2 linked regions of the Macaca mulatta genome follow. The protein of the gene in region 1 interacts with the protein of each later gene in a biochemical or structural test. Links are inferred from orthologs where the notes say so. Each region holds a gene or a part of one and is shown in the gene's direction. Other genes may lie near its edges.

What was found.
Region 2: of the proteins of TRIM28 (region 1) and SIRT1, one has a biochemical effect on the other in vitro, tested with the Homo sapiens proteins (2 studies listed by BioGRID). The link is inferred for Macaca mulatta from reciprocal best matches to the Homo sapiens genes TRIM28 and SIRT1.

What each region holds. Positions count from the first base shown.
Region 1 is NC_133424.1:70,686,318-70,690,301, forward strand, and holds the end of TRIM28 (transcription intermediary factor 1-beta), read left to right. Parts: coding exon 1-65; intron 66-146; coding exon 147-263; intron 264-340; coding exon 341-455; intron 456-580; coding exon 581-727; intron 728-840; coding exon 841-955; intron 956-1,036; coding exon 1,037-1,143; coding exon of another isoform or gene 1,144-1,171; intron 1,172-1,239; coding exon 1,240-1,276; intron 1,277-1,361; coding exon 1,362-1,410; intron 1,411-1,488; coding exon 1,489-1,741; intron 1,742-1,831; coding exon 1,832-2,151; intron 2,152-2,237; coding exon 2,238-2,361; intron 2,362-2,449; coding exon 2,450-2,536; intron 2,537-2,654; coding exon 2,655-2,792; intron 2,793-2,884; coding exon 2,885-3,061; 3' UTR 3,062-3,223; downstream 3,224-3,984. UniProt on the Homo sapiens protein: Nuclear corepressor for KRAB domain-containing zinc finger proteins (KRAB-ZFPs).
Region 2 is NC_133414.1:81,856,827-81,860,639, reverse strand, and holds part of SIRT1 (NAD-dependent protein deacetylase sirtuin-1), read left to right. Parts: intron 1-176; exon of another isoform or gene 177-268; coding exon of another isoform or gene 269-301; intron 302-793; coding exon 794-941; intron 942-2,025; coding exon 2,026-2,105; intron 2,106-3,256; coding exon 3,257-3,443; intron 3,444-3,813. UniProt on the Homo sapiens protein: NAD-dependent protein deacetylase that links transcriptional regulation directly to intracellular energetics and participates in the coordination of several separated cellular functions such as cell cycle, response to DNA damage, metabolism, apoptosis and autophagy.

The sequences.
Region 1 (3,984 bases):
TTTTGTGAGAGCTGTGATACTCTCACCTGCCGAGACTGCCAGCTCAATGCCCACAAGGACCACCAGTGAGTCCCAAGGCATAGTGGTTGGGTGGGTGCCACCCCTTCCCTAGTTTAGTGCTCAGGAACACATTTGTCTGCTCTCAGGTACCAGTTCTTAGAGGATGCAGTGAGGAACCAGCGCAAGCTCCTGGCCTCACTGGTGAAGCGCCTTGGGGACAAACATGCCACATTGCAGAAGAGCACCAAGGAGGTTCGCAGCTCGTAAGTGTGGGTTCTGGGGCTGTGGAGTGGCCCAGGGCAGCAAGACCCTACCTAGCCTGACCTGCTGTGTCCCCTAGGATTCGCCAGGTGTCTGATGTACAGAAGCGTGTGCAAGTGGATGTCAAGATGGCCATCCTGCAGATCATGAAGGAACTGAATAAGCGGGGCCGTGTGCTGGTCAACGATGCCCAGGTAATCCTTGTGCCAGTGAGAGGGTCCCTGAGCCCGCTCTGCTGATTGATAATGCTTTCCCGGGTAAGGAGTGATCCTAGTGTTCTCTGCCTTCTTTGCTTACCCCATACATCTTCCATTTGCAGAAGGTTACTGAGGGGCAGCAGGAGCGCCTGGAGCGGCAGCACTGGACCATGACCAAGATCCAGAAGCACCAGGAGCACATTCTGCGCTTTGCCTCTTGGGCTCTGGAGAGTGACAACAACACAGCCCTTCTGCTTTCTAAGAAGTTGGTGTGTACTGGTGGGCTTCCAGCTGGTGGGTTCCAGGCAGGTGGCTCCCAGTACCTCAAATCCCTATTTGTTGTTGGTGTGCTCATTCTTTCTTCCCTTTCACTCCCAACCAGATCTACTTCCAGCTGCACCGGGCCCTCAAGATGATTGTGGATCCCGTGGAGCCACATGGCGAGATGAAGTTTCAGTGGGACCTCAATGCCTGGACCAAGAGTGCCGAGGCCTTCGGTGGGTCCCAGCTCTACCTTGCTCTGCTTTGTTATTACCCCATGTGCTGTACCTGCTTATGTTTCTCTTTTTTTTGTGCAGGCAAGATTGTGGCAGAGCGTCCTGGCACTAACTCAACAGGCCCTGCACCCATGGCTCCTCCAAGAGCCCCAGGGCCCCTGAGCAAGCAGGGCTCTGGCAGCAGCCAGGTGAGCAGGAGAGAGGACCCAGAAAGGGGTGGGCAGGGAATGGGGTCCAACAGGGTTCCTGTCCCACTGAGGCAGAGGGCTCTGCTTTGTTCACAGCCCATGGAGGTTCAGGAAGGCTATGGCTTCGGGTCAGGTGAGTGGGTCTGCCTAGTGGGTGGGGAAGGGCCCCAGTGCTGTTTCTACCCCGACCTGCCAGTCTTCTTTCTCCATTTTCTAAGTAGATGATCCCTACTCAAGTGCAGAGCCTCACGTGTCAGGTGTGAAACGGTAAGTGTGGCACCTCCCCTGGGGGTGGAGGTGGATGGAGGGTAGGGGTGTGCTCATGCCAGGTTGCTGCATCTACAGGTCCCGCTCAGGTGAGGGCGAGGTGAGCGGCCTTATGCGCAAGGTGCCACGAGTGAGCCTGGAACGCCTGGACCTGGACCTCACAGCTGACAGCCAGCCACCCGTCTTCAAGGTCTTCCCAGGCAGTACCACTGAGGACTACAACCTTATTGTTATTGAACGTGGCGCCGCTGCTGCAGCTACTGGCCAGCCAGGGACTGCACCTGCAGGAACCCCTGGTGCGCCACCCCTGGCTGGTATGGCCATTGTCAAGGTAAGTCTGTCCCAAGGAACTATAGCTGTAGGATGAAGCCTGTAGTCCAGGTCTGGACCCTGTTGAACACCCCTCATCACCACCTTGCAGGAGGAGGAGACGGAGGCTGCCATTGGAGCCCCTCCTACTGCCACTGAGGGCCCTGAAACCAAACCTGTGCTTATGGCTCTTGCGGAGGGTCCTGGTGCTGAGGGTCCCCGCCTGGCCTCACCTAGTGGCAGCACCAGCTCAGGGCTGGAGGTGGTGGCTCCTGAGGGTACCTCAGCCCCAGGTGGTGGCCCGGGAACCCTGGATGACAGTGCCACCATTTGCCGTGTCTGCCAGAAGCCAGGTGATCTGGTCATGTGCAACCAGTGTGAGTTTTGTTTCCACCTGGACTGTCACCTGCCGGCCCTGCAGGATGTACCAGGGTGAGTGTGAGGCTGGTGTGGGTCTAGTCTGGGTGTTGGGCTGTCTGGACAGGATCATGTGCAGACCCTTATTCTCTTCACCCTAGGGAGGAGTGGAGCTGCTCACTCTGCCATGTGCTCCCTGACCTGAAGGAGGAGGATGGCAGCCTTAGCCTGGATGGTGCAGACAGCACTGGCGTGGTGGCCAAGCTCTCGCCAGCCAACCAGCGGGTGAGGGCTGGGGTTACTTAGGTGGGGTTGCCCAGAGAGGCTTTATAGGTGCTACCCAGAGCTGTGACATCCAGTACACTGTTTGTAGAAATGTGAGCGTGTTCTGCTGGCTCTCTTCTGTCATGAACCCTGCCGCCCCCTGCATCAATTGGCTACCGACTCCACCTTCTCCCTGGTGAGTCCTAGGACGGGAAAGTCGGGGGGGGTGGGCGGTGGTGGCTGCCGGGTCTCACCCTCAACCTATGTATGTATATGTGTGTCTTTGTGTGTGTATGTGTGATCTCTGCCTGTAGGACCAGCCCGGTGGCACCCTGGATCTGACCCTGATCCGCGCCCGCCTGCAGGAGAAGTTGTCACCTCCCTACAGCTCCCCACAGGAGTTTGCCCAGGATGTGGGCCGCATGTTCAAGCAATTCAACAAGTTAACTGAGGTGAGCCAGTGGAATGGAGGGGCTGTGGGCAGGGAGAGATGTGAAGGAAAGAGCTAGGACCCATTCATCCACTGCATTCCTGCTTGGTCCAGGACAAGGCAGACGTGCAGTCCATCATCGGCCTGCAGCGCTTCTTCGAGACGCGCATGAACGAGGCCTTCGGTGACACCAAGTTCTCTGCTGTGCTGGTGGAGCCCCCGCCGATGAGCCTGCCTGGTGCTGGCCTGAGTTCCCAGGAGCTGTCTGGTGGCCCTGGTGATGGCCCCTGAGGCTGGAGCCCCCATGGCCAGCCCAGCCTGGCTCTGTTCTCTGTCTTGTCACCCCATCCCCACTCCCCTGGTGGCCTGACTCCCACTCCCTGGTGGCCCCATCCCCCAGTTCCTCACGATATGGTTTTTACTTCTGTGGATTTAATAAAAACTTCACCAGTTCCTCAGGCCTTGGCTGGTTGGGGGGCTGTGGTCCTAGGGCCTGGTTTATTGACTGTATCTGCTATTCAGCCTTATCAAGCACTGGTGGTTGATAAGGGAGGGGGGTCTTGTCTCCAGCCTACCCAAGCCCATGTGTATGGATGCCTAGGGAGTGGGGGAGACTGCAGCCTACCCAAGCCCATGTGTATGGATGCCTAGGGAGTGGGGAAGACTGCCTCCTTGCCCTTTCTGGATATGGGGAGGGCACCCAGGGCAAAGGATGTACACGCTACAGGCTTGTTTGGTACCCTTTGCGATACTGGGTGGGTGTGACCTGCAGCCCTGTGTAGGCAGGGTTAGCCCCACTCTACTGAATACTTCGTAAACTTTGGTGCCGTAGCTGTTTCTCATCTTCAGATGGTACCACAGTGAACTGAGACCTTCCAAATATGGTTTTTTCCGTCTCCCTTTGCTGAGTCCACTTAATATTATCCTTCATCCCTGTGTTATGATTTAGTTACTCTACAGTTGAGCCCGTGTGAATCTCAAGGTCACCCCCTTGCCTCTGTTGGTTGGTCTGGACTGTCCTCGAATGTTGTCATTAAATCATCACTGGACCAAACAGTGTTGGGCACTAAAGCCTGGCAGATGGAGGACTGGCCTCTCAAGATCCTACCAGGGGCCGGGCGCGGTGGCTCAAGCCTGTAATCCCAGCACTTTGGGAGGCCGAGACGGGCGGATCACAAGGTCAGGAGATCGAGACCATCCTGGCTAACACGGTG
Region 2 (3,813 bases), on another chromosome or scaffold:
AAGTAGATGATAGCACTACTACTTTAAAGGAAAAAGTAGAGAAGAAACTTCCTTTGCCATAGTCACTTACTAAATGAAATTTAATAAAAACACTGTCAAAAGTTGGGAGGACCAAAATTGATACTTTTTCTCTGATCTTTTTGCCATGTGTATATCTGAATTCTTTGTTTTTAAAGAAGAAACAGCATTGAAGCATTATTTGGGGGGAAAAACACACACACAAAATCCAGCAACTCAGCATTCATGAGCAACTCTATACTATACCAGTATGTGCCTGTGCAGTGGAAGGAAAACAATTTTGGTAAGGATTAAAACTTTAGCTTTAAACTTCCAACAGGTTGATATTCTAATGAATGATAAATCAAAAAAATTTTAAAATATTCTTGTATTGACAGTGCTTTTTTAAAAATCACCCTACCTTGATACCTGTAATTTTAAAGTTTCCCATTTTTCTTTAAAGAAAAAAATCTGAATTTGCAGCCAACAAAAATTAGATATCCTAAGGTTGTGTTACTTCTGACTTTTATTAAAATATCAACATTTATTAGAGATGTTTATGGGCTGACTTTGTCTTTTTCTTCAAGGGGCCAAGTTCACTAATTGCTGAGTTTTATACATGACAGCAACAGTCCTTTTGTAGGTGTGTGTTGCATCCATCTAGATACTTTAAAATGCTCATCTATTTCATTTTTAAAATTATATGTGGGGGATTATCGGTAGTTTTTTGTTAAACATATGACATCTGTAGTTTATTTCACTAATGTAAATTTTTTCTACCTTTTACTTGATATAGGAAATATATCCTGGACAATTCCAACCATCTCTCTGTCACAAATTCATAGCCTTGTCAGATAAGGAAGGAAAACTACTTCGCAACTATACCCAGAACATAGACACGCTGGAACAGGTTGCGGGAATCCAGAGGATAATTCAGTGTCATGGTTAGTAAACTTCAGAATGGTTTTCTGTAATTTATTTTAGTTTTATAGGAGGATTTTTCCTCTAAAGCAGACTGCCATTGAGAAGTGGAGATAAAGCATTATTTAATCATGTTATCTCGTTAATTATAGATAACCTCCGAAAAGTAGAAAAGTAGAAAACAAAAATAATAAAAACAGTTAATTACATAAAACCTCAAATATTAATTTGCTTTTGATTTCAAAAGATGCTGCAGTTGCATGCATTCAGTTATTTTAAATAATCTTTTCTGGCTGGGTGTGGTGACTCACGCCTGTAATCCTAGCACTTTGGGAAGCTGAAGCGGGCGGATCACATGAGGCCAGGAGTTCGAAGAACAGCCTGGCCAACATGGTGAAACCCTGGCTCTACTAAAAATACAAAAATTAGCCGGGCATGGTGGCGTACCTGTTATCCCAGCCACTTAGGAGGCTGAGGCATGAGAATCACTTGAACTTGGGAGTTGGAGGTTGCAGTGAGCCAAGATTGCACCATTGCGCTCCAGCCTGGGAGACAGAGAGTGAGACTCTGTCCAAAAAAAAAAAAAAAAACTGATTACAAGAGTAATGTTAGCTATTAATGAAGAAATGTGACATCTTTAGTTTATGAAACTAAAAGAACTGGATAGTTGAGATGTACAGAATTCAGAGATTCAGAAATGTTTAATGTAAAACAAGTATGAACACGCCATTAGGTATCTAAAGTGTTTCTAAGAACTGCTGAACTAAGGTAATAGAATTGGAACTGTTCAACTCTGCAGGATTTTAGCTCTGCAGGAGCGAGTTATTACAGTTTTGTTCAAAAGAGTAGCTTTAGAAGGCATCATTATTGTCTCAGCGATTGAGAATTGTGTTCATTCTATGTATAAATAAATATATAAATTATTCATCCCCTAGATTCTCCTGTAGTGTATCACAAAATCTGCAGTGTGTTCTGAGGTTTAAAATCAAAGTTAAAAATCTTTAAACCCTGTTAACATTTCTGATGTCAAACTTTATAACATTCGTGGTGTGTTCAAGAAACAGAAATACTTCATTAATAAAGCACATATATGTTGGTTGTTTTTAGGTTCCTTTGCAACAGCATCTTGCCTGATTTGTAAATACAAAGTTGACTGTGAAGCTGTACGAGGAGATATTTTTAATCAGGTAATTTGTTTCCCGTATTTTAGGAATTGTGCATGTCTCTGAAGTATTTCTTCTTTTGCCTCAAAATCCTTTTTTTACCCTTAAAGGTATACGTGATACAGAAATATTCAGGAAGAAAATAGTAATTGGGAATTTTGGTAAAATATACAAGAACCTTTCAATACCTTATATAGAAAACAGCCCTATAAAGTCTGTTAAAATTATGAAATTGGCTTCTTAGTATCTAAGCCGAACCTAAAACATCAGATCATAAGCAAGTTGTTGTTGTTGTAGTTTTTCTCCTTCCTCTTTTTGTGCCTGTCAGATTTGAACCTTAAATTAGTTGTGGTAATCTTTTAAAATTATTTCATACATGTTCATTGCCAAAAAATATAGGAAAATGTAGCAGAAAATAAAAATTATCCAGAAATATGTCCTGTGTGCTTAGCAATATATAGAGTTAATTATATTATTATGAAAGAGGAAGAATAGTATATTAAAATGGAATCATTGTTCGGGTGCAGTGGCTCATGCTTGTAATCCCAGCACTTTGGGAGGCTGAGGTGGGTGGATCATTTGAGGTCAGAAGTTCAAGACCAGCCTGGCCAACATGGCAAAACCCCGTCTCTCCTAAAAATACGAAAATTAGCCTGGCATGGTGGCATATGCCTTTAATCTCAGCTACTTGGGAGGCTGAGGCAGGAGAATCATTTGAACTCAGGAGGTGGAGGTTGTAGTGAGTTGAGATCATGCCACTGCACTCCAGCCTGGGCAACAGAATGAGACTCCATCTCAAATAAATACAATGGAGTCATTTTGTTTTACAAATGTGTATTTTTCTTTTAAAGGATCAATTCCCATTTTGTGTATATACACACATTGTGTTTTTCCTCTTATATGATGGACTCTTCAATGTCAAGTGTTTTTCTATATAGATATTATAACAAGAGCATAGTATTTCACTGTTTCATAGTATGTTAATAAACTACCCATCATTGACGTTTAGATTGTTACCCAGTTGCTGTTTATCTATAGCTTTTCTGTTTTTTTTTTTTTTTTTTTTTTTTTAAATAATTCTGAAATGTATTCTTAGAGGTATGGAAATGTTGACTATTTCTAACTTGAGCTTACTGTTTGCTTCTCTGTCTCAACCAAAATCTGAAAATTCGTAGGTAGTTCCTCGATGTCCTAGGTGCCCAGCTGATGAACCGCTTGCTATCATGAAACCAGAGATTGTGTTTTTTGGTGAAAATTTACCAGAACAGTTTCATAGAGCCATGAAGTATGACAAAGATGAAGTTGACCTCCTCATTGTTATTGGGTCTTCCCTCAAAGTAAGACCGGTAGCACTAATTCCAAGTAAGTTGGTGATGGCTTTTGGAGATCATTTCTATATATAATGTCATGGGTTGTGGATCTGTATAATAGACCCTAACTCTAGTAATCTTACTCTGCTTCTGTTTGAAAGAGTGGTGAAGAGCTAATTTTCGAAATTGTTTGTTTATTTATTGAGATGGAGTTTCCCTCTTATTGCCCAGGCTGGCGTGCGGTGGCGTGATCTCAGCTCACTGCAACCTCCGCCTCCTGGGTTCAAGCGATCCTCCTGCCTCAGCCTCCTGAGTAGCTGGGATTACAGTTGTCCACCAACATGCCTGGCTAACTTTTTATATTTTTAGTAGAGACCGGGTTTCGCCATGTTGGCCAGGCTGGTCTCGAACTCCTGAGCTCA